4 linked regions of the Alligator mississippiensis genome follow. The protein of the gene in region 2 purifies or fractionates together with the protein of the main gene of each other region. This does not show direct contact. Links are inferred from orthologs where the notes say so. Each region holds a gene or a part of one and is shown on either strand. Other genes may lie near its edges.

Evidence for each region.
Region 1: the proteins of MMS19 (region 2) and DNA2 purify together in Homo sapiens (affinity purification with mass spectrometry; 3 studies listed by BioGRID and IntAct, counting the BioPlex papers as one, with this or other methods). This does not show direct contact. The link is inferred for Alligator mississippiensis from reciprocal best matches to the Homo sapiens genes MMS19 and DNA2.
Region 3: the proteins of MMS19 (region 2) and PRIM1 purify together in Homo sapiens (affinity purification with western blotting; 3 studies listed by BioGRID and IntAct, with this or other methods). This does not show direct contact. The link is inferred for Alligator mississippiensis from reciprocal best matches to the Homo sapiens genes MMS19 and PRIM1.
Region 4: the proteins of MMS19 (region 2) and CDKAL1 purify together in Homo sapiens (affinity purification with mass spectrometry; 4 studies listed by BioGRID and IntAct, counting the BioPlex papers as one, with this or other methods). This does not show direct contact. The link is inferred for Alligator mississippiensis from reciprocal best matches to the Homo sapiens genes MMS19 and CDKAL1.

What each region holds. Positions count from the first base shown.
Region 1 is NC_081829.1:54,948,532-54,956,236, forward strand, and holds the start of DNA2 (DNA replication ATP-dependent helicase/nuclease DNA2), read right to left. Parts: upstream 3,006-7,705; 5' UTR 2,901-3,005; coding exon 2,836-2,900; intron 2,322-2,835; coding exon 2,142-2,321; intron 1-2,141. UniProt on the Homo sapiens protein: Key enzyme involved in DNA replication and DNA repair in nucleus and mitochondrion.
Region 2 is NC_081829.1:100,703,688-100,711,022, forward strand, and holds the start of MMS19 (MMS19 nucleotide excision repair protein homolog), read right to left. Parts: upstream 3,009-7,335; 5' UTR 3,005-3,008; coding exon 2,902-3,004; intron 2,808-2,901; coding exon 2,759-2,807; intron 2,675-2,758; coding exon 2,574-2,674; intron 2,459-2,573; coding exon 2,373-2,458; intron 2,258-2,372; coding exon 2,183-2,257; intron 1,999-2,182; coding exon 1,929-1,998; intron 1,843-1,928; coding exon 1,714-1,842; intron 1,580-1,713; coding exon 1,518-1,579; intron 1,310-1,517; coding exon 1,223-1,309; intron 938-1,222; coding exon 863-937; intron 776-862; coding exon 698-775; intron 535-697; coding exon 396-534; intron 207-395; coding exon 52-206; intron 1-51. Other genes in the region: UBTD1 (ubiquitin domain-containing protein 1), read left to right, coding at 3,217-3,280, 3,673-3,900, 4,036-4,421; ANKRD2 (ankyrin repeat domain-containing protein 2), read left to right, coding at 5,906-6,052, 6,239-6,400, 6,508-6,615, 6,879-6,977, 7,306-7,335. UniProt on the Homo sapiens protein: Key component of the cytosolic iron-sulfur protein assembly (CIA) complex, a multiprotein complex that mediates the incorporation of iron-sulfur cluster into apoproteins specifically involved in DNA metabolism and genomic integrity.
Region 3 is NC_081838.1:6,989,141-6,996,503, forward strand, and holds the start of PRIM1 (DNA primase small subunit), read right to left. Parts: upstream 3,002-7,363; 5' UTR 2,943-3,001; coding exon 2,840-2,942; intron 2,758-2,839; coding exon 2,600-2,757; intron 2,321-2,599; coding exon 2,214-2,320; intron 2,126-2,213; coding exon 2,052-2,125; intron 1,746-2,051; coding exon 1,609-1,745; intron 1,458-1,608; coding exon 1,399-1,457; intron 990-1,398; coding exon 880-989; intron 611-879; coding exon 519-610; intron 416-518; coding exon 271-415; intron 189-270; coding exon 119-188; intron 1-118. UniProt on the Homo sapiens protein: Catalytic subunit of the DNA primase complex and component of the DNA polymerase alpha complex (also known as the alpha DNA polymerase-primase complex - primosome/replisome) which play an essential role in the initiation of DNA synthesis.
Region 4 is NC_081826.1:117,420,733-117,428,729, forward strand, and holds the start of CDKAL1 (threonylcarbamoyladenosine tRNA methylthiotransferase), read right to left. Parts: upstream 3,008-7,997; 5' UTR 2,902-3,007; intron 1,157-2,901; 5' UTR 1,115-1,156; intron 1-1,114. UniProt on the Homo sapiens protein: Catalyzes the methylthiolation of N6-threonylcarbamoyladenosine (t(6)A), leading to the formation of 2-methylthio-N6-threonylcarbamoyladenosine (ms(2)t(6)A) at position 37 in tRNAs that read codons beginning with adenine.

The sequences.
Region 1 (7,705 bases), about 46 Mb from region 2:
CTAGTTAGTTTGGTGCCGCCAAGCCTGTAGGTACGTTGGGAGTTGCTCATACCAAGGTGGAGCACTTTACATTTCTTGACATTGGACTTCATCAGATTCCAATCCACACAACTTGCTAGCCTGTCTAGGTCCGCCTGTTTCTGTAGTCGATCTTCAAGCATGACCACTCTCCCCTATAACTTGATGTCATCCATGAACTTGGCCAGTGAGCTGTTCACCCCCACATCCAAATCGTTAAAGAAGTTGAAAGGACTGGACCGAGCACCAACCCCTCGGAACCCCACTGCCCACTTCTCGCCAGGATGACACAGATCCATTCACTATGACTCTCTGGGTTCTATCCTGCAGCCAGTTTCTCACCCACCTGACTGTCTCAGAGTTAAGCCCACAATCTTCCAATTTTCTCGTGAGGACATTGTGGGATACTAGATCAAAGGCCTTTTGGAAGTCAAGGTATACAGCAAGGGTCAGCAACCTCCCACACATGTGCCAAGCATGGCACGCGAGGCCATTTTGCTCAGTACGCCAAGGCCAGCCCTGGCTCTGGGTAGCTGCTGCCAGCAACAGAGCCCAGGCTGCTCCCAGCAGGGCATGCAGTGTCCCAGCTGCCTGCTGGGAGCAGCCTGGGCTCCTGCCTGGCAGCAGCTGCCCAGAGTTGGGGCCGGCAGGCTCCAAACAGTTGTGCCAGCTTAAGCACCTCAGAGCAGATGGGGGAGGGGGCCTGAGGCAGCGCAACCCCAGTCTCTTCCCCCCCGCTCCTGGCACAGAGCTGGTGACTGGGCTCTGGAGCCCAGCACAGCTGTTTGTAGCCAGCCTGGGCTTTGGGCAGCTGCAGCAAGCAGGCTGCAAACAGCTGCACTGGGCTCCAGAGCCCAGACGCCAATTCTGTGCTGGGAGCGGGGGAAGAGACGAGAGTTGCACTGCTTCAGGTCCCTCCCCCACCGCCTGCTCCAATGTGTGGGTGCACACGCCGGTATGGAATTGATGCCTGGGGCTCTGGAGCCCAGCGTAGCTGCTTGGAGCCTCCCAGCTGCAGCCAGCCCAAGCTCTGGGCAGCTGCTGCCAGCAGGCAGCTGGAAGACTGCAAGTCCTGCTGGGATCACCCTGGGCTCCAGCAGCTACCTAGAGCCAGGGTAGCTGCTGATAGCCACAGAGCCCAGGCTGGGGGGCTGGGAGCACAAGCAGGGCTGGGGGGTAGGGGGCATAAGCAGGGCATCCTGCCATGTACCCCCTGCCCTCATTTTGTTTCTCTGGCAGGCCGGCACTCCGGCATCTTCCAAGGTAGGTATTGTGGTGTTTTTCAATGCTCCGGCCAAAAATCGTATACCAGGGTAGGCAACAATGTCAACCTATAATACCCATTTCTTTGTATATTTATCAATTAAGCTAGAGGCCTAAAGAGTAAGCCATATGAAGAAAGCCCAACAGATACGGGACTGTTAAACCTAGAAAAGAGAAGATTCCAGAAGGATTTGATGGAAGCTTATAAATATATCATGGGAGAGCATCAGGGGCTAAGTGAACAACTATTCACCACAGCACCCCAGGGGAAAACCAGGAGCAATGATAGTAAACTCCTAGAAGGTTTCAGACTGAATATAAGGAAAAACTTCTTCACGGTTCATGTGACCAGACTGGAACAGACTCCCAGCAGGGGTGGTGCAGGCACCTACCCTGGAGATCTTCCAAACGAGACGGGATGCACACTTTACTAGCGTTATTTTGACCCCAGCAGTCTTTCCAGCCCAGAGCAGGGGGGGCTTCACCCGATGATCTCACGAGGTCCCTTCCAGCCCTAAACTTCTGTAAATCTGTGTTCCCAAAATAATGCTAACTGCTCAAGTCAGCATAGTGAACACAGAGCCACATGATTCAAGTTTCACTATTTTAACTATTTATTCGTATTATTTTACCACGACTAAACTATGTGAAAAATGTAAGGTAACAATACAGTTTATTCTAGATACTAACTGCTCTCAATTAGATATTAACAAACAAGACCAGCATGGCAGTAATGCCATATTAGATTAATTGCGTTCAGTTTGCACTTTTAAGATAATGAAAATGAGCATATAAAGAATTTACTTAATAAACCAAAATATTCTCATTACAAAAAATGTTTATATCTACATATCAATTACCAGTCATTCCTCAGAATACATAGTTCTGTATCCTCAGGTGATTGAGATGCTGCAATTGTCAGATGCATTTCAGGATCTTCTCCCTTTTTCTGTACTACATTCACTCTTAACACACGGTATCTGTTGTTCAAACATTTAACGAGTACTGTATCAGTGAAGTCAACTGTTTTCTTCTGAAAACTGAAATGAAAGTGATGTTAATAGAACCACTGTTTAGAAAGGCCATAGTCATTGTTTAGATAAGACTAAGGTAGCCTTCCAATGCCATTCCTCCTGTAACTACCTCCCTGGCAAAAAAAAAAAAAAGCCTTGTTCAGTTACACGTGCCAAAATTCACCCCAAGGTAGGTCTCTTTCAGAAAATTTGGTTTTTTGGGGGGTTTTTTAAGGCAATGTGGCTCATACATCTACAGTGGCTTAGTTTGGGGAAAAAAAAAAGGCTTTACTTTAAACTCGCGCGCTCCCACGGCGAGCCCAGCGCATGCTCAGAAGAGGCAGCGCGTTAGTCGGACCCGACTCACCCAAGTTCTGTACAGATCGGGTGCGTTAGTGGGGGCTTCTAGGGACTGAATCAGCTATTACAAGTGCCAGGAAAGCCCCGCCGAAGACCAGCTCTATACAAACAGCAGAGCCGGGTCGTACTAAGGCGCCGCTTCCCGCTCCCGATTCCAACCGCCCCCGCCCCCCGGCGGCACCTCTCCGGCGGCACCGGCTCTTCGCGGGCACCGCTCCCCGGCCGCTCGTCCCGCGACGGCTCCATAGCGCTGGCGGAAGCTGAGAAACCCAGTCGCGCCGGGGGCAGCGGCAGTATCGCAAGGTCTGGCTTCCCGCTGCTGCCGCCAAGACCACTCCCGCTAGTAGCGGCGCAGGCGCACTAGCGTGGGGCTGGTGCGGCTCGAGGGAAGGCCCCGCCCCCGAGGGCGCTCAGCCAATGGCCGTTTTGGCGCCGCGCGGCTGGGAGCGCGGGAGCGCGGATGCCTCAGAGCCCGGGGCTGTGGGTGGGGTAGCGACCCGGCGGGGGGAAGGGTCCTGCTTTACACCGTGGCGCTTCCACACATTCACCGGCCTGGCAACCAGTCCCAGCCCCGCCGCGTGCCCGGGGCCGCCGTCGACTGGCAGAGCGGGGCGGGCAGACGCGCTCCTCCAGACCCCGACCCCCTGGCTCCGCGCGGGGGCACTCGCCCGGCCCTTCTCTACTGCTCATCAGTTTCATTTAGAGGAAGGGAGCGGGAAGGTAAAACGTGGAAATGCGGGGCAGGAGGCGCCGCACATACACGAGGCGGCAGGACAGCAAAGCAGAGCGGTGGGACTAGCTCTGGCACAGGTGTATCTGTGGGGAGCAGGACTTGGTACAGGGGTACTCTGGGCACACCGGAGTTTGGCACAGAGCTGGTCGAGGCCATCAGGAGCCAAGCTCTGGCGAGTCTGGACCAGCGCTGCACCATGGGGGCAAGGGCCAAGCTCTGGAAAGCCACAGACCCCCTGCCAGTTTTCTTCACTAGGAACTTTTAGCAGTCTCCATCTGCTATTACAAAGTATCACGAAACATAACCGTGATGGTGGCACTTAGGATTCCTCTTTATACCCTCTTATAGTCTCCCAAAAAACTATAGGTACCCCGACTTTCCCGCCTGTCATGTCTTGGATGTTGTATGTTCTAATTTCTGATGTCACTAGCCAGGAGAGTTATTATATATAGTTCAGGTTTTTTTGTTTGTTGGTTTGGGGGGGGTTGTGCCTTTATTAGGGGTCCCGGTATTATAGAGGAATACCTTGCTCACCTTCTCAACTATTCACACGCAGTCACCGATATATATATATTCACAGTCTGATTCAGATTAACGCTTGTCTTTATTTTTATCTTTTATCACTCTATACAAACTTTCTTTACTTTTAGGCAGAAGTTGTCCATTTATATCCTTTTCCTTTTTTTCTTTAGCCTTATCAATCATAACAACTTTGTAATTCTATCTATATAATGTTCTTATGTAACTGCTGTCAATTTGGTTGGACTGAACTTAGTATTAGAAAACAAAGTCTCTTTCTCTCTTGTTCGTCTGTTTATCTTTTTTGGACGGGCTTTTATCTTCAAACCCCACCATATACTTTCTCTTTATTTTGTTGCTATAAGTGTGTACCTTTTATCTTGTGTGTGCCTGAAGTCTTGAATCCTCATGACAGACGATCAGATGCCATCTCCAAGCTTGACAGAGTAGGTCAAGTCACTCTCCACTTTTCTTTGTTTACTTTCCAGGGCAGTAGCCAGACCTGTCCCGCGGGTTGTAGTTTGTCTCCTCGGGGATCCGCCCCTCTTCCTCGGAGCTCTGCTCTCTCCAGCATCGTGAGAAGTCTTGAGGTAAGTCTCTTATCCCCTGGGGATCCTCTTTCTCTCTCTTTTTCTTTTGAAACTCCCATCTCCTCCCTCTTTTCCACTCTCAGAGCTTCCATCCTATTGTGGTAATGGCTCCGGAAGCGGCATTCTCCGGCTCTTTTTGCCGCGTCGGTGTTAATATTTCACAATAACCCTAAAAAGTAGCTCTAGAATAGAAATCAAAACTCCTTTGTCTCTTGAGTGCCTGCCCTGAACCCCACTGCACACCACGTGAACCCTTAAATTGTGCCCCTTCCACACTGTCAACAGTCACCACTGGGCCAGTAAAAGCTATCACCAAAAATATGGCTTTTCATTCTTAAGTTTTTACAGGCAACTCAGTGTGAGGTGAAAGATCACGTTACAGCAAAATGGACAATTGGGGAAGTGTTAAAACTATTAACTATAATGCATTAATGCACTACATGAACCTCAGGGTTAGGGTACATCAGAATCAAGCAGTCAGAACCTAAGAAATGCTACAATTACATGTGACATTTTTTGCCTCCTTTTGCATAAGCACTATTACCTCATCTTTGGTTAAATAGGTTTCTTGGGGGTTTGTTTGGTTTTTTTAAGGATAAGTTCCTCAGTTCAGTCGCTTAGAATTTGGGCCTGTTCTCCTCTGGACAGTCCCCTGTTGTGAAAACAGACCCAGCTGCCAGGTCCCAAAGACTTTTAAGACCACCAGACCTGCATATAATCCAGCTGATGTTTCTGCTACTGGAGTTCTAGATATTTTCTTTGGTGTGGGACTGCAGTCCAAACATCTTAAATCCCAAAACCTCAAGCCGCCTCACCCTCACACACTACCGCAGAGTTCCACCTAGTTGTGGTTACTCTGCTTTCTAATTTCATCACTTCATGAGCAGCATAGCAGGAAAGCTATAATGCTAGATTGACAATTTCTTAACAACAATCATTTTACTCCTTAAAAGTACTAATTATTGATCTTTGTAAAAGCCTGGAGGTGAGTCCTGCTGCTGGGTGGGCCGGACAGTAAGGCACATGGCACCGCACCGCTTTCAGAGGCAGCAAGGGACAGGCAGAATACAGCTGCAGCCTGCCTGTGCCCCATGCAAAGATCAAGGGGCCACATGCCCCCCTACCCCTTGACTGCCCAGCGCCATGCCTTTATAAGAGCTGCCAGGCTCTTCCTGGGGATGATGTGAGGCAGGTGCAGGGATCCCATGGGCTCTGTCTCCTCTGGCCCAGCGGTGCAGCCAAAGCAGGCCCTATTCCAGGTCCCCCCAGGCAGTGCAGAGCCAGGGCCAGTGCAGGGAGGCAGCCAGGGCTGGTGCGGGGCTGAGGGGTGGCAAATTTGCAGGGGCCACCAGCACCGGGCAATGACCCTGGGCACAAGGGTAGGGATGGATACAGCAGGCCCTGGCCCCAATCTCAGGCCCGGCTCTGCTCCAATCCCTGCCTGGTCGCAACCCCATTCCCTGCCCTCCATGGCCCTTTCCCCACAGACTTTCCTGTTGGGGGTGGGGAGTGTGCACATGAGTGCTCAGCCCCCCCAAATTTTTTTTCTCCCTCTGCCTGTGGGTAGCAGTGCAGAGGAGTCTCGGGTCAGCCTGGGCAAGGACTCTGGGTGGCTGCAGCAAGAAGAGCCTGGCACCAGTGAGGGGCCGCTTTTCCTTTGTGCTGAGCAGCAGCTTCTGCTTAGCTGCTGCTCAGAGTGGGCAGGTGAGTTCGGAGCAGGCACAGGGCGGGCTAGGGTCAGATCTGTTCATATGGGTTTCAGTTAGTCTGCTCCAGCCGGGGCGAATCTGGAGCAGGCGTCGGTAAACCTAGGGTCGGAGCTGGGGCTGTGCACTGTTGGTGGTAGCGGGGAGGAGCCACAGGGAGCACGGGCTCTGGGCTGTTGGGTGGGAGGGGTGCTAACTATTGTTTAACTGTGCAATTAAAATTGAGATTGTGACTTTTTTTTTAATCTCGCAATTAATTGTTTTAATTGTTTGTCAGCCCTAATTTATACTTATCTTATGTACTTGATTTTGGTGGAACAGGCTCCTTGAATCTTTCTTGGTCCCTAGAACAGCTTTGGGACTTAACAAGGTCTGCTAAATAGGCTAGCACCCCACAGAGGTGGGTTAGTAGTTGTGAGACAAAGCTGATGGCCCTAGATTGCTCTCTAATGGCTTTTCAGTGATAGTCATTTCATGAGTATGAAGCACATCTGGACATCATAGTTACCATGCCTTAGACAAATTTACCAAAGATACAAGTTGAACACATACTACCAGATGGAGTTCAGTTTTACCCAGACATTCTGTTATAGCACACAGGCACCTCCTGTACTACCTATAATGTTTCCTGCGCTCTTAGCTTCTCATTCATGTGACCTTTTCCAGTTTGCCAAACAGATATTTTTTATTGACTTATACATGGAATTTGCTATTTAGCTGAAGCTGTAATCTTAACAATAGAGAATAAAAGTTATTTTTCTTAAATCCCCTCTCAGGAAAGATTATGACATGTTTAACGTTGTAGGTTGCTCCAAAATACAGTTTACATAGTGTGAAATGGAATCTTAGTAGAAGTTGCAGGGATACTTTCTCCCTCCCCCTGACCCCATGATTTTTGGGCAAAAGGCCACTGCTTTAAAAAGTTTACTAGTTCTAAGAGCTCTCATTATAATTTAAGTCAAAATAATTTAAAAGAGGTGTGGGAGATCACATTTAGCTCCATTACTTTTACTTCCATGGGGCAAAATGTATGTAAGTAAATTAGCATAATCGGTGATGGCAATCCCTTGATTCAAAGATGACCTTTACCATGGCTTGCTGATGAGTCTTTAGGTGATTTAAGAGTCCAATCCTCAAGCCACACATCTGTCCACTGAAGTTGCAGGTCTTTCCACAGAGAAGAGTAGGGTTTAAGCTGAGATTCCTTTCCTTTTCCTTCCTTCACTCTTTCTTCTCTGCTTTAAGGGCAAGAAACTTTACTTCGAAATAGGCTGCCAGTTGGTTGAGGTGGAGATACCATTGAAGTCAACTGGCAACCAGCTCCTCCAAGTTCTTTAGGTCAGTGAACATTTTCTTGAGGTATGCCTTCAATGTGTCCATAGAGCATTTTCTCTGGCCACCTTGAGCTTTCAGGCTTCAACTAAGCTTGGAGTAGAGTACTTGTTTTGGGAGTCAGGAGTCAAATATCCAGTACAGTGAAGCTGGTGCTTGAGGATCACCAAC
Region 2 (7,335 bases):
CCGTGGGGCCGTGTGACCCCAGAGGAACCGATGCTGCCGGGCGGCGCTCACCTGGGGGTGCTGGTTGTACTGCTCCAGCAGCAGGGGCAGGACGCTGCCAGCGATGTGGTGATAGGCCCGGAGTGAGGCGCTGGCTGCGGCTTGCAACAGCTTGGCACTTGGCCACACCAGCTTCATGTCAGGCTCGCACAGGTGGTGCCGGCAGTCTGGGGACACACACATGGCACCTCAGCCATAGGGTGAACGCGCACACAGGTACACGTGCCTGCCAGCTCACGGCCACAGAGCCAGGGACAGCTCAGCCCGGCCACGGCCCACCCTGTGTAAGGCATCACACCGGGTCAGCCCCTTCCCCAAGCTGGCACCAGCATCTGCCATGCAGCCGGGACAGTTACCTTGCAGCACACCACTGAGAAAGGTGTCCAGCGGGTCGTGGGTGTCGGCGTGGAGCACGGCGTGGGACAGGCAGGCGGCCAGTGCTGTCAGTGTACCCAGGCACTCTGCCTCCAGCTTCTCGCTCGCTGTCTGGAACACCTGGGGATAGGGGTGGGGGCAGCTGCAGGGCCCAGGCCTACACAGACCGTGTACCCCACGCCCCAGGACAGGGGCCACAGCCCGAGCCCCCACTGTAGCCTCCTGACCCACCTGACGTGGGCTGCCCCCCACCTCTGGCAGGGACCCTACCGGCCTCACTCACCTCCCGACGCAGGGAAGCCCAAAGGCTGGGCAGGAACTCTTGCAGCTCCTTGGGCCCGTAGATGGCACAGCAGGCACTCTGCAGGGCACAGCGGGCGCGGAGTGAGGGTGCAGCCCCTGCTGGGGCTCTGGGGCCCCTGGCGGGCTGGGTGGAAGCAATGCTCACCAGGGTTTGCACGGCGTCCAGCTTGGCGCTCTGCAGCTCCGAGTCCATTTTCTCGATGAGAAGCGGCAAAAGGAACTGCGGGGATGGGCTCAGTCTCAGGGTCCTGGCTCCAGCTGGGGCCTCAGGTGGCTGCTGCCTGGTGCTCCCAGACGCTGCTCCTCAGCCTGGTGCCCAGTGCCAGCCTGGCCCAACAGACCCTCCTCCCACCACTGAGCAGCAGCGAAGGAGCTGAGCAGACGGCACGAGGGTGCCTGAGCGCTGGAGCGCAGCTGGTGCCCGGAGCCGAGTGTCCCAGCCCCCCACCGCACGCTGCAGCCCTCCTGCCCTGCGCAGCTCCACACCCCCATTGACGCATCTCACCTCAGCGAACTGGGGCGTGGAGGCCAGCACGGCGCGGAGGCTGACGATCAGATCTTCCCGCTGGATGCCGTGGGGGTCGTTGGGGGGCTGCAACAGAAGCGCAAGGAGCCCAGGGCTCAGCAGAGGCTCCTGGTGCGGTGCCTGGTCCAGCACAGGTGCCAGGGGCGAGGCTGGGACATGCGAGACCTGCCCCCGCCTCGGGTGCCGAGACCCTCTGGACAGCTCCCAGCCCCGGCTCCCTCTTGCGGAAGGGCAGGTCTGGTTTGGGGCTGCGGCTCCGGACGGACTCGCTCACCGGGGTGAAGTCGATGGGGAAGTAGCAGGACGTCACCTCAAACAGCTCCTCCACAAAGGGGCCTGCGAGAGACAGCGGAGCCGCAAGCTGAGCGCCAGCCACAGCCGCCTGGGCCCAGGCCCCGGAGCAGCGTTGTGGACCCGGCGCCGGGCAGCCCGGGGGGGTGGGCAGCGCCTGGCGGGACAGGGGCTCTCACCGAGCGCGTAGCCCTTGAGGACGAGGTCGCGGACGATCTGGAAGGCAACCAGCAAGTTGCGCGGGTCCTTCTCGCCGTCCATCACCTGGATGAAGCCGAAGGTGAAGTCGGTGCCGAGGCTCTTCAGCTCTGCAGGGACGGGAGCAGACACGGGGCTCGCTCAGGGCCTGGCACCCCAGCACCCCCCCCCCCCCCCACGGGGCCTGGGCCCGCACCTTCCTCCCGCGTCCGCATGAAGTTGGTGATGATGGTGTAGACCGTGTGCCGATCCAGCTGCAGCAGCGACTGCGGGGCAGAGAGGTGTCAGCGCCACCCCGACCGCGTCTGTGCAGGGCAGCACCCCGCGGCCCACGGCAACAGCCCGTCCCCGCACACGCAGCGCACGCCTGGGAGCACGTGCAGAGCACAACACGTGTCGCTCTGGATGCGCTACATCCCAGCGGCTGAAGGGGACGTGGGGGCTGCTCACCTGCACGTGCACCTCCTGGAAGATGGCCTTGAGCACCGACACGGCCAGGCCCGGGGCCAGCGCCTCGCTCAGGCTCTACGGACAGAGCATGCGCGGCTGAGAGCCCTTCCTGCCCCGCGCCCCTGGGTGGGCTGGGGCCGGGGCACGGAGGTGCCGCGCGCGTGGCCGGGGCACGGGGGCGTGAACTCACCAGCGCGTGCAAGCCGTGCAGCACGGCGGGGATCACCAGGTGATGGTCCTTCAGGCGCGCCTCGAAGAACAGCACCAGGTGCGTCACTGCGGGGAGCGAGCGCCGCGCGTCACACCTGCCCCAGACGCCGCCACCACCCGAGCCCGGTCCCAGCCCCGCTGCCAAGAACCGCCGCCCCCGGCCCCGGCCCCGGCCCCGCACCTTCCGCGTGGCGCAGGGCGCCGTGGCAGCGCAGCAGGACCTGGCCCAGCAGCTGCAGCCCGCGGGCGCGTGTGCGCGGCTCCGGGTGCTCCAGCGACGACCTGGGGGAGAGGCGGTGAGCGCGGCGCGGCGCGGCGCGGCGCGGGGGAAGGGGACGAGGACGGAGACGGGGACGGGACTCCTACCCGAGCGCCTCCACCACGTCCAGCGCCGTCCAGCTCCCGGCGCGCAGCCCTGCGGGACGGGAAGGGTCAGAGGTGACACACGCGCGCACACACATACGCCCGCCCGCCCGCCCGCCGCGCGTGCAAGCCCCGCCGCCCCGCACCTGCCGCCACCTCGGGCGCGGGCCCGTCCTGCAGCCCGGACACGAAGTCATGCACGAGCGCCCGCAGCGCCGCCATGGCCCCGCCCCGCCTCGCCCCGCGCATGCGCGCCGCCCCCAGCACGTGACCCGGGCCCGGCAGCGCGCGGGCGCGGGGCGGGGCCTGCGCCGAGGGGCGGGCCGCGGGGGCGGGGCCGCGGCACGTGGGGGGCGGGGCCGGGCCGGGCCGGGCCCAGCCCGCTTCCCTCCGCCGGGTCTGGCGGCGCCGGGACGAGCCGGGTCCCGCGGGCTGGCGGGCCGGGCCGGGCCGGGCGGGACATGGGCGGCTGCGTGGGGAGGCCGCGCCGAGCCCCGGGCCCGCGACACGCGCGCAAGCGGGCAGGTGAGCGGGGCAGCCGGTTACGTAACCCCCCCGGACCGCCCCGCCCCGGGGATACGGGCACGGGCACGGGCACCGCGCCGCGACGGGGGCACACGGGGGGCTGGGCCGGGCCGGGCCGGGCTGCGGGGGGGGCAGGCTCGCGCGGGCCGGGCCGGGCCGGGCCGGGCCGTGGGGGGTGGCGGGGGGGGGGGGGTGTTGCGGCCGTGACTCACGCCTGGTTCCCGTCACGGGCCGGGCGCGCCCGAGTAATTGCCGGGCCGGGCTGGGGCAGCCGGAGCAACAGGACGTGCTGCCGCCCCCGCCCGCCCGCCCGCCCGCCGGCGACATGCCCGGGGCCGCGGCCGCAGCGGGTGGCAGAGCCCCTCGCCGGCTGACCGTGCCGCTGCCCGCAGGCCGCAACGAGCCGCTGCGCAAGGAGCGTCCCAAGTGGAAGAGCGACTACCCCATGACGGCCGGGCAGCTGCGCAGCAAGCGCGACGAGTTCTGGGACACGGCGCCCGCCTTCGAGGGCCGCGCCGAGATCTGGGACGCGCTCAAGGCGGCCGCCGGCGCCGTGGAGGCCAGCGACCACGGCCTGGCCCAGGCCATCCTGGACGGCGCCAGCATCACCCTGCCTCACGGTAGGCGCCGCGCCGCGCCGGGGGCCCGGTCCCCGGGGGTGGGAGAGACGGGCTGGGGTGGTGGCGGCCGGGGGTCGGCAGCGAGGGGCCGCGGGTGGGCAGCGCGCCGGCCCTCACCGGCTGTGCCCGGCGCAGGCTCCCTGACCGAGTGCTACGACGAGCTGGGGAACCGGTACCAGCTGCCCGTGTACTGCCTGGCGCCGCCCGTGAACCTCATCCAGGAGCGCGGCGAGGACGAGGGCCCCGAGGCGGCGGAGCCGGCGCCGGGCGCGCGGCGCGAGTTCCCGCTGAAGGTGCGGCTGTCGACGGGCCGGGACGTGCGGCTGGGCGCCAGCATGGCCGACACGGTGGGGCAGCTCAAGCGGCAGCTGCAGGCCCGCGAGGGCATCGAGCCCGCCTGGCAGCGCTGGTTCTTCTCGGGGAAGCTGCTGACGGACCGCACGCGCCTGCAGGACACGCGGCTGCAGAAGGACTTTGTGGTCCAGGTCATCGTGAGCCAGCCGCCGCCCCCCAGGAACTGACCCGGCGGTGGGCACGGCCCCCAGGCCGCGGCGCTCGGGCTGGCCCCGGCGTGGACGGGCACCGGGGCTCGGCCCCCCCGCGCCCCTGGAGGAGTGGCCTGCACCCGCTGGGCCGCTCCTGTGACAGGCGCTGCCTGGGGCGGTGCCCGCGGGGGCTGGCGGGGTCCCCCCGCCTGAGCCCCCTTGGACTGTGCTGCTCGTGCTGGAGCGGAGACGCAGCGGGAGCCGCGGTGCAGGGCGCCCGCGGGGCCGGGGCCGCCGTGTCCGTACTCTGTATTTATCAATAAATCCTTCCCAGCTCGGCGGTCTGCGGGGATGCTGGATGGTGACGGGGGCAGTGGCACCGAGGCCACGTTACCCCCGGGGGTCCTGTGCCCGGCTCCTCCCCGTTGCTGGTTAGCTCCTGGCTCCTGTTGGCTCTGCTCTTCCAAGCGCCCTGTCCTCAGCCCCAGGGCTGCAGCGAGCGTGCGCCTGTGTGTGCCGGCACACGCCTGTGCGGGGGCTGCTGGTGGGGGGTCCTGCTCCACGCTCCCTGCCTGGTGCCCCCCACCCCGGCTTGTTGCAGCGCACAGCTTGTCGCCTTCCCAGTGCAGGACCTGGGGGAGGGACCCCCACTGCACACCGAGGCAGCGACCTCCCGTGACCTCAGAAGGGAAGGGTCAAAGGTCACCCTCAGGCTCTAGGCTGGAGCGTGCCTGCCTCGTGGTCCTCGGGCGGTGATGACTGTGGCATCTCCCTTGCCCCCTCCTCTGGTCCCAGCGGGGCTGCGCGCGGTGCGCAGAGACAGGAATAGCTCCTGCCCGAGTTATTCCAGGCAGGCTGGGGTCTGGCCAGCGTGTCCCTGGGGGCTGGCGGAAGTGCCAGTGCCTGACGTCATCTGCCACAGCAGCGCGGAGGGAGCAGCATGTGCGGCATGGAGCAGGACCCCAGCTCCAGGGGCATCGAGAGCTGCCCTGGGGTACTGGCTTGGGATGGGCCCAGGGCTGCCGCAGGGCAGGGGGTGACCAGCTCCAGCGCTCTGCTGCCCCGGTGCGGTGGCTCTGGCTCCTGCCCACACCACAGGCCGGAGCCCCCCTCGGTCCCCCTGCTGTGCCTGGGGCCCTTTAAGGGCGATGCCCAGCGCTGCGGGAAGGTGACCGGGGAGAATGTGGCCGGTGAGCTCATGACAAAAGCCCCCGGTCACAGTCACGGGGCGGGCACACCTGTCCCTTGGGCGCCGCATAAAGCCTGGAGCAGCCGAGCAGCTGCGGGCACAGCAGCGAGGACCCGCCGCAGCTCCCAGCGCCAGGGCAGGCGGTGCCCAGGGCCGGAGCCATGGCGGCGACTGTGGAGCAGGACCTGAAATGGGCGACGGAGCTCATCGACCAGAGGCTGGCGCAGGAGGAGGCGGCGAAGCAGGCGAGTCCGGGGACGCCGGAGCCGGGCTGAGCCCTGGCGCTAGCCCCGATGGCCCTTCCCTGCGGATCTAGCGCCTTACCCGGGCAATGGCACCCAGCCTGGGGGCTGAGGGTGTCTGTGCTGGGTTTCAGAGCAGCTCTGGGCAGCCGCCAGCGCTGGTGCGGATGGAGGTGCAGGAGCTGGAGGATGAGAAGCACCGGGGGGCCCTTCCCCTCGGCATCGCCGTCCTCAAGGTGAGGGGTGTGGGGGGGCGCAGCTGGGCCGGCCCCTCGTCCCGGCAGGCGGCTCTCTAGGAGCTGTGGCCGCCGTGGTCAGGGGGAGCCCGGGGCAGGGTCAAGAGTAGGGGGGAGAAGCCCGCTGATGGCCAAGCACCACGAGGCAGGGATCCAGGCAGACACCTCACTCCCTCCCTGGTGCAGGGCCAGGAGCGGGTGCGGAGGAGCTCGGTGGACCTGCGGCGCGAGATCATCGACGTGGGCGGCATCCAGCACCTCATCGAGCTGCGCAAGCAGCGCCGGCGCCGGCGGGAGGAGCGGGCCGCCACGCCTGAGCCGGCGCCCGAGCCGGAGCCCGAGGACCTTGTAAGGGGCTGGGGTTGAGCCAGAGCCCAGTGGGGCCTGGGGGTCAGGACAGCACCCTCCGGGCGGGGTCCTGGGGTGTAGGAGTCCCATGTCCCCCTGCCCGGCAGGATGCCGCGGTGGTGCCGGAGACGTTCCTGCGGGCGGCCGTGCGGGGCCAGCTCCGCCTCGTCGAGAAGTTCCTGGCTGACGGCGGCTCCCCGGACACCTGCGATGAGGTGGTGCCCCCAGCCCATCCTGGGCCCCCCACGGGCAGCGCCGGGGAGCTGGGCGGAGGGACGATGCACCGGCTGGGCTGGCAATGCTGCGGTCCGTCTGGCCCTTACGGACCCGGCACAGCTGCTCTGTGCCTGGCAGGGCTGCTTGTGCCCCTGGGTGCTGGGCAGGGGTCTGCAGGCGCCTGGTGCAGGCGGGGGACGCAGCCCTCGGGGTGGGGAAGGTGGAGGGGCTGTCCAGTGATGGCGGTGCTGCCCCGGGGCAGTTCCACCGCACAGCGCTGCACCGGGCCTCGCTGGAGGGGCACATCGAGATCCTGGAGAAGCTGCTGGAGCACGGCGCCACCGTGGACTTCCAGGACCGGGTGAGATGGGGGCAGCCCCCTGTCCCTGCCACGGGTCTGGGGAGGGCACCTGGAGGAAGCATTTGGGGATCAGCCCAGAGCCCCCAGAGGTGGCGGAGGAGCCCTACTGCAGTCTGATTGGCTGCCCGTCCCCTCTGCCCTGCCCCTAGTGGAAAAGCAGCCAATCAGGGGGCTGCTCCTGCAAGGGCTGGTCACCCTTTCTGCAGTGTGAGGGGCATGGGGTCCTGGGTGTGGGTGGGGCAGGGGGAGTTGTGGGGCAGGTGGGGGGGGTTGTGGGACGTGGCCAGGCAGGGGCTGGCCTGGCCCTGACGTGAGCATCTGTGGGCAGCTGGACTGCACGGCCGCGCACTGGGCCTGC
Region 3 (7,363 bases), on a different chromosome or scaffold from region 2:
AAGGTACTCCAGAGAGTAGGAGGGGACTGACCAGAAGCCCCTAAGGCCACTCTGCTGCTGGGGTGGCCCGCTCGGGGCTGGGCAGAGCAGCCTAGAGGGGCTAGTGACCCACAGCTACCTGATGGTGGGGACGGCGAAGGGGTCGAACTGGTCCAGCCGCTGAACATCGATAGGGACTGAAATGCGACCTGCCGGGGGCAAAGTCCACATCATGTCCAGGCTCACCAGGGTCCACTCCCTGCCCTGGGGGTCCCTTCCCCTGGGCTGTACCTGTCTTGGGGTGGACACTGAAGGGGCTCTTGAGCAGGTGGTTGAGGCCCTTGCTGACGTTGCCGTCCAGGCGTGGGAAACAGAACTGCAGCATGATTTCCTTCTCTGCGTAGGATGGCAGCTTCTTCGAGCTGCTTGAGGACTGCTGTGGGGGCGGGGAAACAAGGACAGTTGAATTCCCCCTGCACCCAGCAGTGGCCTGCCCCCCTCAACAGCCTCCCAGTGCCCCCTGCCCCCCAGCTTCTCACCCTGGACTTCTCGACGAGGGCTTTTAGCCGGGCCCAGCGCTGCACCGAGTCACGCTTCCGGGGAAAATCCTGCTGCAGCTGCTCGCGCAGGGGTGGGCACCAGCTAAGGACTGACAACATTGCATGGACCCCCCACCCCCTCAACCATGCGTGGAAGCACGGAGGTCTGCACCGAAGCACTAGATGGACACAGATGTAGAGCCTGTAATGCAGCATGTGTCAACACGTGAGCATGTGCACACAAGCACGGGCACAAGCTCTCCCCTGCATGCTTCTCTGGCCCTAAACATGCAAGCCCCCACCGCTGCCAGCCCCTTCCCCAGGCAAAGTGAAAGGCAGCTGGAGCTGGGCAGAAGGATATGCTCTGGGACGAGGGCCAGCACCTTGTCCCAGCTCTCACGGCTGCCCAGGATGTCCTGCCCCAGCAGTGCATACTCCTCAAAGCGCTCCTCCACCAGGCGCAGCGACTTGCTGGGGAGAAGCAGACGGGATGGTGGGGTTGGCTCCCTGGAGGCCATGCCTGCGGCCCTCCGCTCCCAGGACGCTGGGACCCTCCCCTGGCCAAGTCTGTGCCTACTTTGGGACTGCGGGGACATTTCCAGCTGTGGGGGGTACCAATAGGGGTCCCTTGGGGGCACCCCCACCCTGGTTGAGGGGAGGCCATAAGGGAGCTACTGCCCTCCAGAGAGGAACGGGTCTCTTTGGATCCCTGCTGCCTTGTTCCCAACAAGCTTGTCTACTACGCCTGGTCCCCGGGGGTGGAGCGGCACCCAGGTCAGGCAGGAGGGAGCTGCCAGCACAGGGCAGAGTGGTCCTGGCACTGGGGTGAATCAGGCCCACGACTAGGGCCTGTCAAGGGGCTTCATGGGGGGGCACTAACCTGATGAAGGGGTGCACAGGGTCAGAGAGATTCACCTTCTTGACAGTGTCAGCCCCACCCTGGGCGGGGAGCAAGAGGAGATGGTCAGGATGGAGCAAATCTGCCCCAGGCCCGGGTGCCAGGCGACAGCTCCCAGCACCTGGCCTGCCTGGAGCAGCTGCAATGGGGGACTGGGGTCAGATGCAGCCCCCAGGAGACCCCCTGCCGCACCTTGACCAGGCTGAGGTAGTCGACGATGGAGGAGCGCAGCGAGGAGGACCACTTGCGCACAGTGTCGTCGCACACCCAGCAGTGCACGCCGCGCCGGCCCGAGTACACCCAGAGGCGGTGCTGCACCCCCAGGTCCTCTGTGGGGCACAAGGTGTGGGGTCAGGCAGGGCCTGCTGGGGGGGAGGAGCACCCCCCAGTCTGACCATTGCCCCTCACTCCCGGACTCCCAACCTGCAGCCCTTGCCCCCCTCCCGGACAGCCCTTCTGGTGCCCCTAACTCCAGACCCGCAGCCCCCAGTCCTGCAGTAAGCAAGGCTGGGCCCAGGACAGCGGTGCTGAGAGCCCCAACTGGGCAACTGGGTTCCTGCAGCCGCCACAACTACCCTGATACAACCAGGAACCACGGTGCTGCACCCCCCGGACCCTGACGGATGGGTACTTGCCCACAAGTGCTCGGTCGAGGACGCGGATGGCGATGGTCATGAGGGTCCAGCACTTGGAGCAGATCTCGGCCGAGCTGCAGGGAGGGAGGCCATGGGGATGGCACTGGCTTTGGACACACCAGTGCTGACCCACCCCCACGGCCTCCAGGCCCCGGCGAGTACCTGCAGCACCCGCGGACGTCATCGTAGTCGGTCATGTCGATGTCGAACACCAGCTCCTTCTCCTGGGCCTGGAAGGCCCCCGAGCGCAGTGCGTTGTGCTGACTCGGCTGGGCCGGGAGCGACAGGTCAGCGCCGGGGGCCGCCGCTCCGCACCCCGCACGTCCCCCACGGAGCCGTCTGGCTTCTGGGGGCAGATGTAGCCCCCGCCCGGCTGCCTTGGAGCTGAACGCCTGCCCCGTGACCCCTGCTGCAACCCAGGCCTCCGACTCCGGGTTCTCCGCCGGGCGCCGACACGGGGAGAGACCGCGACGCCCGGGCTCTGCCAGCGCAGACGGGGCCAGGGCAGCGCGCCATGCCAGCTCAGGCAGCCCCGTGCCCCAACTCACCCGGTGCGAGTACACCGCCCCGATGTCCACCTTGTAGGGGCAGGTTTTCTGCAGCTCCTTCTCCAGGTCCTGCGGGTGCTCGAAGCTCTGGTACCGCACGTAGATGTCGTCGCGCAGCGTGAACGAGAACTCGCGGCGGGCGAAGTAGTTCTTCTCCACTGCGGGGGGAGCCGCCGGCTCGGTGCCCGGGTCCCCGGCCCCGCTCTCCCGCCCCGGCCCGGCCCGCAGCCCCGCACTCACCGCCTCCGTAGCCGAGCCAGCGGCCGTAGGGCCCGTGCGGGAAGAGGCGGCGATAGTAGAGCGGCAGCAGCTCGGGCAGGGCGCTCGGCTCGAACCCCGCCATGGCCCCGGCGGCGGCGCGCGCGAAACCGGCCCCGGCCCGGGCGGCTGGGAGCTGTAGTCCGGGCCCGGCCCCACGTGCAGCGCCGAGCCCCGCCCCGCCCCGCCCCGCCCCCGCGCAGCGCCGGGCACCGCCCTGATCCCGGCCCCACGTGCAGCGCCGAGCACCGCTCCGCCCCCGCGCAGCGCCGGGCACCGCCCTGATCCCGGCCCCACGTGCAGCGTGGGGCAGGGCCGCGGGACCGACCCCAGGAGCTGCTGCCCTCCAGCCCCCATGAATCCCTGGCCCCGAGGCCGCGGGTAGAGCCGGCCCTAGGCAGGACCTGCTGACCTCCAGGGCGATTAATGATCACCCAGGGCAGTGCCGTGACCCCGCCACCAGCCAAGCAGCCCTCAGGACAGTGTCCCCGCCACCAGATGAGTGGCTTTGTGGAAAAGCGTTGGAGCCGGAGCCAAGTGGCACAGGGGGCAGGTGGGGGAGCATGGGGGGTTTGCATCCAGGCCGTACCTGGGGTGGTCTCGCACAGGCATCAACCACCCCTGCCCTGGGCAGCTCCAGGCTGGAGGCAGCTAGGGCAGGTAAGTGGGGGGGGGGTGGGGAGGCCCCAGTTCTGTCTGGTTTCCCCCAGACATCCCAGCGTCAGGGGTGACCCCAAAGGGAAAAGCAGGAGTGATCTTGAGCCCAAAGCTGGCGTGACCAGAACTAGGATCATCCAGGGGATGGGCACGGGAAGGGGCAGGGATCCCCGGGGCAAGCCGAGATACAGATTACCAGCGGTGAGCTGCCCTGTGTTACTGCCAAGGGGCACACTTGTACCCTGGGGTAAAGGTGGGTGCCAGGTCCCCATGCCCCATGCCTGCTCCAGAGCTTGCAGCTGGTCTCTTGGCCATGAGCGAGGCTGGGGAAGGAAGGGAATAACAATATTTTCCTCCATAGTGGGTAAAAGTCCAGTGCTGAATTGCAACTGCCTGACTGGGCCAGCTCCTCCCAGGCTGACAGGCACCCAGCTATTGATGACTTGCGAGGAGCTGCTGGAAACCTCCCCAGAGGTGGTCGCATTTGGACACAGCTCTGACCTCAGGTGGCTGTTCCCCCACGCCTGTGAAGATGTGGCTGTACCTGGTGGCCCTGCTGGCGCTGTACCTCCTGTGCCGATGGTACCGGGAGCGGCAGACGGTCGGGAACCTCCCGGACAAACATGTCTTCATCACGGGCTGCGACTCCGGCTTCGGGCACCTGCTGGCCAAGCAGCTGGACGGGCGGGGGCTGCGGGTGCTGGCGGCGTGTCTGACGGAGCAGGGGGCCGAGCGGCTGCGGCAGGCGACGTCGGGGAGGCTGCAGACGGTGATCCTGGATGTCACTCGCTCCGACAGCATTGCCGCGGCCACTGCCTGGGTGAAGGGGCAGGTGGGGGACCGAGGTGAGGCTGCTGTATCCCTGGCACGATGCATCCCGAGTCCGGGGTGGGTGACACTGGGGTGCAGGGAGAAAATCCTCTGTGTTTCCTCCTGCCTTTTCCGGGGCAGCTCTGAGCTCCAACAGGAGGGGCTCTGTGGGGGCAACGGGGAAAGGAGCTGCCGGCAGAAGGGAGCGAGGACTCCTGGGTGCTGTGTCCCACTTTGGAGGGGAGCGATGGGGGGTCTGGACTCTGGCGTGGAGCCACATCATAGGGCGAAAGCGCTACATTGAGGGCAGAGGAGGGTCTCAGAGGGTCTGTTCAGCAGTAAGCCCAGGGCCAGGATGTTGGCGGCACTGGGATTCGTGCCCGAGTGGGGGAGTCTCCCGTCCCATCTCTGCCCAGGCTCACTCCCTGCCCTCACCCCGCAGGGCTCTGGGGCCTGGTGAACAATGCCGGGGTGGTGCTGCCAGTGGCCCCCAACGAGTGGCTGAGCAAGGCTGACTTCGTCAGGGTGCTGGACGTGAACCTGGTGGGGCTGATCGAGGTGACGCTGAGCCTGCTGCCCCTGGTGCGCAGAGCCCGGGGCCGCGTTGTCAACGTGGCCAGCATCCTGGGCAGACTGGCCTTCTGTGGTGGTGGCTACTGCCCTTCCAAGTACGGTGTGGAGGCCTTCTCCGACTCACTCAGGTAATGCGGGGCCACGGGCTGCCCCTCGGGCCACGGCGTGGGACGGGAGGCATTTGTGGGGCTGTGGCGAGGCGTGACGGCTGCCTCTGTCCCAGGCACGAGCTCTGGTCCTTCGGGGTGAAGGTGGCAATGGTGGAGCCGGGCTACTTCCACACGCCCATGACACACATTGAGAACAACCTGGGCTGCCTGAAGCAGGCATGGCAGTGTGCCTCGCCGGAGGTCCGGGAGAGCTACGGGCAGCAGTACTTCGAGACCCGTGAGCACTGTTCTGTCCTCTTCGGGGCGAGGGGAGTCAGCGGGGAGGGGGTGCTTCCAGAGGCAATAGAGGGGCCAGCACATTGTCTGTGGTCTGCTCCCTGCTGTCTCCACCGCCCTGCAGCCAGGGCCTCTTCTCCTGAAGCAGCGAGCACCCCTTAAAGGAACCATGTGTGCATGGCAGGATCCAAACAGCCCCCTTTGCCGGCTACATACAACACGCCAGATCATGCTACGTCATGCCTCCCCGAGGCTGCATGGGCCGGTTCGCAGTGAGCACTGCTGGAGGGCTCACCCTCATTTAGCAGGATGCAGCTCTTCCCAGGAGCCCTGCGGCAGTGACCTGGGGGAAGCCATAGCAGAACACGGCTGGGTGTGAGTGTTGCGTGCTGAGTGCCCCTGCAGCGTGTCTGTGTACATGTGGGTGGGAGAGAAGTGACTGCATGTTGCCAGCCTGCTCAGACCCTGGCCACAGGCTGTCTGCAGACTCGGGCACGTGCCTGCCCATGCCCAAGGCTCTGCCCCGGGCTGACCCCCCACCCTGGCTCTGCTCAGTCTACAGGCTGTCCCAGGAGAAGCTGCAGAAGGGGTGCAGCTCCAACCTACCCCTGGTCACCGACTGCGTGGAGCACGCGCTGACCGCCCAGCACCCCCGCACCCGCTACTCCGGCGGCTGGGACGCCCAGTTCTTCTTCATCCCCCTCTCCTACATGCCCACGGCTGTGGCCGACCTGGTGCTGACCTGGTCTTGCCCAAACCAGCCCAGGCTGCATAATAGGAGGTAGGGGGAGTCTGAGAGGTGGGTGGCATCGGAGCTGTGTCCCCCACTTAGCAGAGCTAAGCCCCTCACTCCCTACAGCCAGGGACCGGGTTCCTCGGCTTAATGCTTCTGACCAAACCCTGCAGACACTTGTGGGGAGGGGGTAACAAGTGATTAACAAGCAGTTAGTGTGCAAAGAAAACCCGGAGGAGTTCCCAGGGGCACTGCAGGACGCTTGCTAGCCATGCTGAGACAGGCAGAGCAGCTGAGTATGGGGGACTTACTGCACTGGGGTAGGTGGGACTCTGTCGCTCCGGGGCTGGGCAGGGCCCTGGTGCTCGGGCTCAGGTAGCAGCTCTGGTTCCCCTGGGCTTGTTCTGCAACAGGGAGAAAGGGAGAGCTCAGGGCAGCTCCTGAAACGGGGACCCGCACGGTGGCTTCTAGGAGCTGCCTGGGGAATAAACACAGCCAAGCAGTGGGGAGCTTGTGCAATGCTGGGGACCCCAGTGATGTCCAAGGTCATGCAGAACCAGCCCAGCCCGTTCGTGGCCCAAAAGGCCCCAGCTCCAGGGGACCGATTCTCCCCGCAGCCTCTGCAACAAAGCTGCAGCAGTGGTGTGAGTGGGCACGTTGGACAGGGGCTGTGTCTTCCCCCGAGGGGCTGCGGCATGGGACGTATGAGCTCTGCGCCAGGCTGCAGCCTGGTCTGCCCCCCGCTGCCCTGCATCTGTACCAAGCTACGCTGTGTTTCCTGGGGCTCCCTCTGCCACCTGCCTGCTGGCGCCCACCTGCTCTCGCTCCTAGACTGTAAGCTCAGTGGGGCAGGGCATATCTCCCGGTCCCGTTTGCCTGGCGCCACAGCATCCCGCTCACAGCAGCGCCCACAATAAAGGAACTGCCCCACTGAATCCAGTCTGCCTGCCAGGCCAAGAGGGCAAGGACTCCTTCCCCCGAGGAAGCCTGATTTTCCGTGTTCCCTGAAGAGCAGCAAACGCCAGGGTCACATCTCACGGTCTGGTAATACAGAGGCTAACGCAGGTCATGCGTGAGCTCCTAACTGATGTGTGTGGGGAATGGTAGGGATACGGGGTTGTTACTGTCTGCAGCACAAGCCCCACTTGGATCTCTCCTTGATACCAGGCTAGGCCGTATTGCCCTTGCTGGCTGGGACACTGTTCTCCCTCCCATAGAAAGCCCCATGCACAAGGCTGCAACCTCATTAATAAGTGGCCACTGGAGCTGGGAGTGATGAAGGAGTCCGGGGCAGTTAATTATTGCCCTGTTGTTAGGGAGGGTGCCCCGACCCCAGCACAGAGGAGA
Region 4 (7,997 bases), on a different chromosome or scaffold from region 2:
ATCTCATTTCTTTCCTTTTGCAAGAAATGGTCTCAAGAATCTCATTCCATAAGGTGGTGCACGTTCTGTTGACCCCTATACCTTTTCTGAGTTAAGTTTGGTTTTAGGCTTGAGGCTTTTCTTATCAACATTTTCTCTACCTTTTTAAAATTTTAAATTACACGTTCATACAAAAAAAAGACAAGAACGTTTCAACATAGAGAGCAATTAGCTGATAAAAAGGTTAAGTTAAAAAGTCTAAATATACTGCTTATCAGAGAATATAATCAAGAACAACTGGAAATAGTAAACTTAATTGACAAAGTATGAACTTCTTGGTACTGAATGCATTTTTCTCAGCTTTGAAGTTTCTTCTCTAGCATACAACAAAATATCACACAGGCCCAGTCTTCACTCAGACGCAAAAAAGATTAGAAAAAATATGCGATTTAAATAAACTTAAACAGATTTGAAGACACTGGTAGACATTCAATTCAATTCTCTGTTGCACTGTTAGTTGGAATAATTGCTTACCGACTTAAGCTAAATAAATACAAGTCAGGTTTTAACTGATTTAAGAATATATACATAAATATTCAACACACAATTTGCATCTGTCTAGTGTTAGATGAAAAAAAAAAATCAAACATTTCTAATTGCTAGAGTCAAATGACTGCAATTTGTATGAAAACAACACTGAAAAACTTGAGCACTAAAGGGATAGAATACAGCCCTAAAAAATAAATGGCTCGTAATATTACTATTCTTCTTTGAAGTACACCTTAGGTCAGGGGTGTCAAATGTGTGCCCTGCAGGCCTCATCTGGAGGGACCAAGTGCAAGGCCCACTGCTCAAATCAATGGTACAGGGCCCCACTGAGGATCTCTCAGTGGTAGGGGCAAACAACAGCTGTATTAACTGCTATAGCCACCGCTGACCCCACTGCCACCTGTGTCTAGGTCTAGCCCACAAGCCCCACAGTCTAGAACCAGCCCCAGAGGCCAGATGAGTTTGATACCTCTGGCCTACATGAAGAGTGAACCAAACTACTGAATAAAACTTTTTTTAATTAGGCACCCCTTATTTTCTAAAGCGTCTACTAACACACATTCTAAATTACCATATCCAAAAATACCTTTCCAATAAATGTTCTTTTAAGTCCTCCTGATTAATGAATCTGAAAAGAAAAAAAAAAGCACTTAAAGGTAAGATTAGCATAAGCCTATTCATGCACTGGTCACAGGCAGCATGCTGTGTTTTTACACTGATCATAAATTCTTAAAACCGGTGGCTTAACAGCTACAAGAGCTTTGGCTGCAAATGTGATCTTTTAATTTGACACATGATGATCATGCATTGATTCCAGTAGTGAAGTGACTACAGTAGCCAGGGATAAATATTCAGACTGAAAAGAGAAAGGTAGGATGGAAGAGGTGTGATGACAGAGTTGTTAAAAGCTAGGGGAGGGGAAGGTGTTCGTGTTTCTACTACCAGCTTTCCACTGACAATGCAAGCACAAACCTAAATCAGAGATGCCTACACTTTCGTAAGCAGCAGCTTACTTCATTAGATCGGACACATCTAATGAAGTAAGACATTGTTTAGGTGAGCTTGAGCATCACTGATTTAGTTAGTCTATAACAGTGCTTCTCAAACTTTTTAGGCCTAAGCCAGCCCTCCTTCAACTCCAGGCACCCTCCAGAACTCGGGCAACTTGAGCAGCACCCCCTTTCAAAAGCTAATAGATTTTATTTTTCTTTTTAGCCAAGGGCAAAAATCTGTTCCAAATTCAATTGGACAAAGCCCAATAGTCAAGTTCCCAAATTTGACTGAGCAGAACTCAACTGTCAAGTCTGGGTGGCTCTACCACAGACCAAGTCTCTTCCCTCCCAGACCCATCAGTCTGGGACTTCAGATGCTCCCCATATCCAGGGATGCTCCCCATATCCTAGGTGCAAGCTGCAGATATGGGGGTTCAGATGCCCCTTGTCGTGCTTGATCTTAGCCAAAAGAAATTGGTTCCTTTTCAGTGCTTACCTCCTCACAGAGAAGTTGGGCAGCACAGGGAGCCTGAGCCAGCCCCTTTCTGCTGATCTCCGACTTGTAGCCTGAGCCTTCCCTTGCCTGTGAATTGCCTCCCCTCTCCTTCCTGCGGCACCCTCTCAAGACCCCCAGTTGAGATTCCCTGGACACATCTACATGAGACGCGACAGTGACATAGCATCAGCTGGCAAAAACCGTGATGCCGCAGCTACTCCGCCACAGCAACATGCTCCTTTAGAGTAGTGCCATTACTATGGCGACGTAGCAGCTAAAAATAAGATGCTTGGACTGTGCAGCAGGGGCTGTCATTTAGCACTGCCAAAAGGAAGTGCTGAAGGATAGCACAGTAACAACAGTGCCAGAGAACATAACATGCAAATCCACCCTATCTCTGGCCGAAGAACCCAGCGCCCTGCCTCAACCCCCCACTCCTGTGGGGAGGTGGCAGGGAGGGTGCTCGCCCATGAGGAAGCTAGGCTCCAAAGGCACTGGGGAGCAAGGGCAAACAGGATGCGCAGGCACCATTTCCACCCAGTGGCCCCAGCCTCAGCTCCAGCCCCCAGCAGGGCCCTGGCAGAAAGAGTTCCAAAACGGACCAGTCCAAGTCAGGGCGGCTGGGGCCGCACGTACGTTCCACACCCCCCTCCCCGGGAATGGAACTATCCACGTGCGTTCCACCCGCCCCCCGGGAAATGGAACCGCTCACGCGGGCCCCAACAGTCGCTCTGGGCCGTCCCAAGAATAGGACATGGGGGAGGGAAGCTCCCAGCGTCCTTGGGGCTTGAAACCGTGGGGCGGGGGCACTCGGGGTCTAGGCGCAGCCCGGCCACAGCAGAGACTGGGGGTGAAGGAACGGAAGGGGCAGACGTTACTACTCACCTGCCGCACTCGCGCCTCTCAGGCTTGGAAGGGCTCCGCCATCATGGCCGCTCCACCCCCTACTCACGTGACAGCGCGGCGACGGCGCGCCGGAGAGGACAAACTAGTGCGCGCCGCGGTTGGTTGGGGGAAAACGGTGGTTGCACCGAGCCCGCAGGGCGGGGCATCACCTTGCCCGGCGGCCAATGGGAGGCTGCGGCTGGGGCATGAGAGCTCGGGGGGCGGGACCAGCCCGGGCTCCAGTCCCGGAACGTGCGCGGCTCCTCCCCTGGGTCCGTCCCACTGGGAGGAGGAAAGGCGGGGGCAGTGTGTCCGGTCGTATTTGTACGATAATTTCGTCCTTCGTACGATGTACGAAAAGTAAAAGTGGTGAAAATGCAGGAGACTTTTTGAAGGAGCGAACTGATGCAGCATTTGCAAAGCGCAAGTCACTCTCGGACAGTCTTAACTGACTTTTGGGTCTCGCTCCATGAGGACCTACAGTGAGCAATAGAAAGTAAATATGAAGATTTACTTGCATATTTATTTTCATATTTTTTCCAGTGTACGGTAGTTTTTTGGCGCACACAATAATTTTGAGCTTGCAATACAGTCATTTCATATTTAAGACCTGGCAATGCTGGGCAAAGCGTTGGGGCAGTGCAACACCCTGCCCTGAGCAGAGACCGGAGCGAGGGTCCTGGTGTATGGGCAAGCTTGCCCACCCCTCTCCCAGCCATGCAGCTAGTCCAGTAAAAGAGCTCCTGGCCTCTTGAAAAAGTAGCCTGCTTTGCAAAGCCAGGATGCCGCCCTTCAGAAAAATGAGACTTTGAAGGTCCTTGCCAGACATTACATATATCGTGCGATTCACTGAGGAAATGCATAATCCAGTGCCTCCCAAACTTTTCTTGGCATGGCCCCATTTCCTCAGCATGGCACCTCAATCCCAACCCACAGCCCCTCTGACCCCAAATGCTGATGTTGCGACCAGCCACCTGTGCAAAGTGAGATGGGTCACATGTGCAAAGTTGTTAGCATCCAATTCACTAGTGAATGGTGCAATAAATGTCAACAGGTCACGCATGCAAAGGTATTATCATGCGGTTCACTAGTGACTCGCACGATAAATGTAGACTGGCCAGATGTGCAAAGTGAGCACTGTAAATGAACCACATCTAAAGTTATCACACAATTTCCTGGTGAATCACACAATCAATGAGGGCTGGCCATACTCATGAACTTCACTTGTGAATCATGCAATAGATGTAGCTGTGCAAAGTAACTACCACAACATAAAAACGTCCATCCAGCTATTAGAAGTGCCAACTAGATAAAAAGTTTGTGCTTGAAAATGTGTAACAACTCAATCACTGGTTTCTATCCAGCTTTCAGCTGAACGTGTGGCAGGGCCTGAAGATAAATTGCACTTGCTTTGAAAATAAGGTTGCAAAATGAATTTAACGCAAGATTATGCATCCAAGATTATAAAAGTGTGTGCCTAATCCAGCTCCTGCTAAAGTAATGGCAACAGTCCCACTTATATAAATAGCACCAACTTTAGGTGGGTTCTTAGCAGACCCAGGTCAGAGGAAAAACATCAATAAAATGTTGGGTTTTTTTTTTTAATATGGAGCAGGATATCATCAGAAAACAAACTACTGTTATAGCTGAAACATCTCAACGTGCACAATTTGGCAGGTTTATTTTTGTGTGCCCTGCATCTCCTTCAACTCCAAATTTGGAGTTTGGGGTATCTTACTACAGTTCCAGAAGTCTGAGTGTGAGCATGGACTTGTGCTGGACTTGTACTGTCCACTCCAGTTGACCCAGCAGTAAATCTAGGTAATTTATGCAGGCTGAGGAGCCAAAAGCAGCTGGATAAGGTGCTAGCCACATCATTCTGTTGTGCCACTGGTGTATAACCACTATGGACTGCTAGGGTAAGGGCAGATGATTGACCCCTTTTTGATCTTGTATCTTCTCCAGGGCTCATGGAGTATATAACTTTTTTATATAAATGCACCTGGAATGTCACGCTACTTTGTTTAAAGGATTTTTTTCCTATAGGCAACAGATTATACTTTCTCTTGAACTGGTTGAAAAGTCAGTAGATGTCATGAATCTACTCCATATTAGAATTCTAAGTCTAACAGCAGCTAAAGTTTGGCAGCCTGTTGACCTTTTGTTTGAAACAGTAACAGAAGTAACTCTCCTTCCCAGTCAGTCTGCTCATGTAAAGCCATCCCTGACCCTCCCACTTCCTGCTGCAAACCTCTTGACTAGAATTACTCCCATTTCAAACACCAAAGTTGTGTACCATACTTTTCTGAGGACATTCACAAGCTAGAAAGAATACCAGCAAGAGTGAAGCATTGTGAGAGAGGTGAAAAAGAAAATAGGGGGAGAAAAAACAAGCCTTTGAAAGAATAAACAGTGAACTCTTCAAATACAAATCAACCTAGGGCAGATTGCTAAATGCTTTCATGTAGCACCTTTGTTATATGCCCGAGGTCAGCCCAGAAACATTGTTGCTATTGCTTTAAAGCAGGTTCCTATTTGTGTTGAGTCTGTGCTTAGCCTTGTAAACACACAGGGTGTATCAGGGACCTTGTCCATAATACACATAAAGTGATAGGTAACGTATTACCTTCATAGCATTTTTAGTCAAGAGTTGAATCTAGCCAGTGGATTATAGAGACATCTGAGGACATCAGTCCCTGCACTGACCTGGCTAGTCTAGTCTGCTTTAGATGTTTGAGATCCATCTTCCTAGGACACTAGTCAGAGGCAGCGCTAATCAATTCCAACTGTTCCATTCTTTATCGTGCAGCCATGAGCAGATCCTTTCCTGTTTCTTCGCAATTTCTCCTCCTCCTCATTCTTTTTATAGAGTTTTAAAACCGGAAAAGACTTCATCATCTAGGCCAGGGGTGGGCAAAAAGGCCAATCCAGCCAGCAGCCAGACTCCATTTCCCAGCAGCCCCTGCCACGTGGCTGAGGCCGGTCTCCATGGAGACCCCAGCCTCAGCTGCCTGGGAAAGTTCAAGACTGGCTTTGCCCTGGAAACCAGCCTCAGCCACTCCGGAGCTACTGGGATCTTGCAATGGGGCAGCTTGCTCTGGAGCCAGGGAGAGCCATGATCTGTAGTCTGCACACTCCGAGCAGGGGCGTGCAAGCAGGGGATTGCGGTTCTGCCCCTGCTCCAGACAAGGCTGTCATCACTGCAAGGAACTGGGGTACAGCCATGATCACCTGCTCCCATTGGAATGGCTGTCGTTAGCATGGTTTGTCTTAAGTGCCTTGCTTCCACATACAACTTATTTTTAATAAACCAAAATTACTTGGTGTCTTTGGGCACAGCAAGTTAACTTTGGAACAGAAGTAACTCTCCTTCCCAGTCAGCCTGCTCATGGAAACCCATTCCTGACCCTCTCACTTCTTGCTACAACTCCAACTACCTCCAACTACTTCCTCCAACTACAGTCCTACACTGACAGCTTCACACTGGAACCAGCTTGTCCCTGAATGCACTCAGCTGCTACAGGGTCATCTTGATCAGATGGATATTGGTATGAGTGTCCTTTTACAACAAAAAAAGATAACAGTGAATTCATATGCTCAGTAAAGAAGCCATGCCCTCATCTGTTGCTATGAAAGTGCTGGACTTGGTTGCCCTTCTTAGGAAACAGCATGTTCAGTCTCATTTGGAGAAGTCACCATTGTTTAAACACTGTCAGGGCAATTGAAGACAGGGGCTCGTCCTAGAGCAGTTTCCAGGGTTGAGTCAATCCAAAAAAGTTCCAGGAGAGGCAGCTAAAGACATGAGAGCAGAACAGGTGTTGCATTAATGCTCCTACTACCTGTCCATACTTTGAAGAGTTGGACCACATTTTGGCTCATTTCCCACAAAGTACCCAAAACAACATGGCCGTGGCCAACATGAAAACCAGTAACTTCCCCAAAAACCCACTGAAAAGTCACTTGACCCCCACAAGTGCTATGAAGTCTAAGCAAGATGAGGATTTTATCAGGGCAGCCAAGAATCGTTTGGCCTTGTATCTTATGCCAGACCCCCATGCATGCAGACCAACCTACTGCATTGCTGAGTAGGAGATTTCTAGAAGCAGCCAGCCTGGAAACGCTGCTGAGGAAAACTGTGTCCATAACTATTATGTATTGCATTATTGTACAACTGTTTAGGGAATTTTGAACTACTTTTCTGAGTAAAAGCCATATGTCACTATTTGGTACAGAGCTAACAGCTTCTCTCTGCTTGTTCAACATCTAATCCCATTCCATCTCATGTGCTTAACAATTTACATGCCAAGGATTTCAAGTGTTACTTTCCAATGAATCAGATTCAGTGCCTCTGTACTTCTATTCCCAAGCTGATTCCTGGTTACTCTCCCTCTGTCATCAATCCATTATTCTCCTACTGCTCCCATCCCAACTCAAGATATAGCTCCCACAAGTGTTGAGGAAGTGTGTCTATTACATCAGAAAATACATAAAGGAAAAGAAACACAGTAGAAAAGGCATGTCGTCTCCTAACCTCATTAATGCTCAGTACTTATGGAAAGTTAAGATTTCATGTGGTAAATCAAACTACAGAAATGTTTTAGAGCAGAAGCAGAAGAGTGACCAGGTTTACATAGGAGAGGCAAGTCATAAAAAAACCCAGCATACTGTTACCTCTTGTGCAGGCAGCATCTATCTGCTTCAGACAAATCTACTCCTGGTTGCAGCACCAGGATCAAAGCCCCTACATCAGGGTTGGGCAAGATGCAGCTCACAGGCTAGATCCAGCCTGCCAAGGGATTTTATCCTGCCTGCAGCAGGTCCTTTGGACCCACCCAGCTCAGGCACAGGGGGGCAGCCCAGGCTGTGGCATGTGTAGTCAGTCCTGTTGCCCTTGAGCGCACAGCAGGGCATGGGCAGCTCAGCGGCTGGACTCTGCTTCCTGGCAGCCTCCGCTACTGTGGTTCCTTCCAGTTGGTGCTGCTGCCAGACCTGGCCCTGCTGCCTGGGCACCCTGGCCTGTCCATCCTGCACCCACCCCCAGGGGTGCCAGAGGGAGCGGGCAGGTGGGGTCTCCATGGAGACCAGCTGGTACCCCC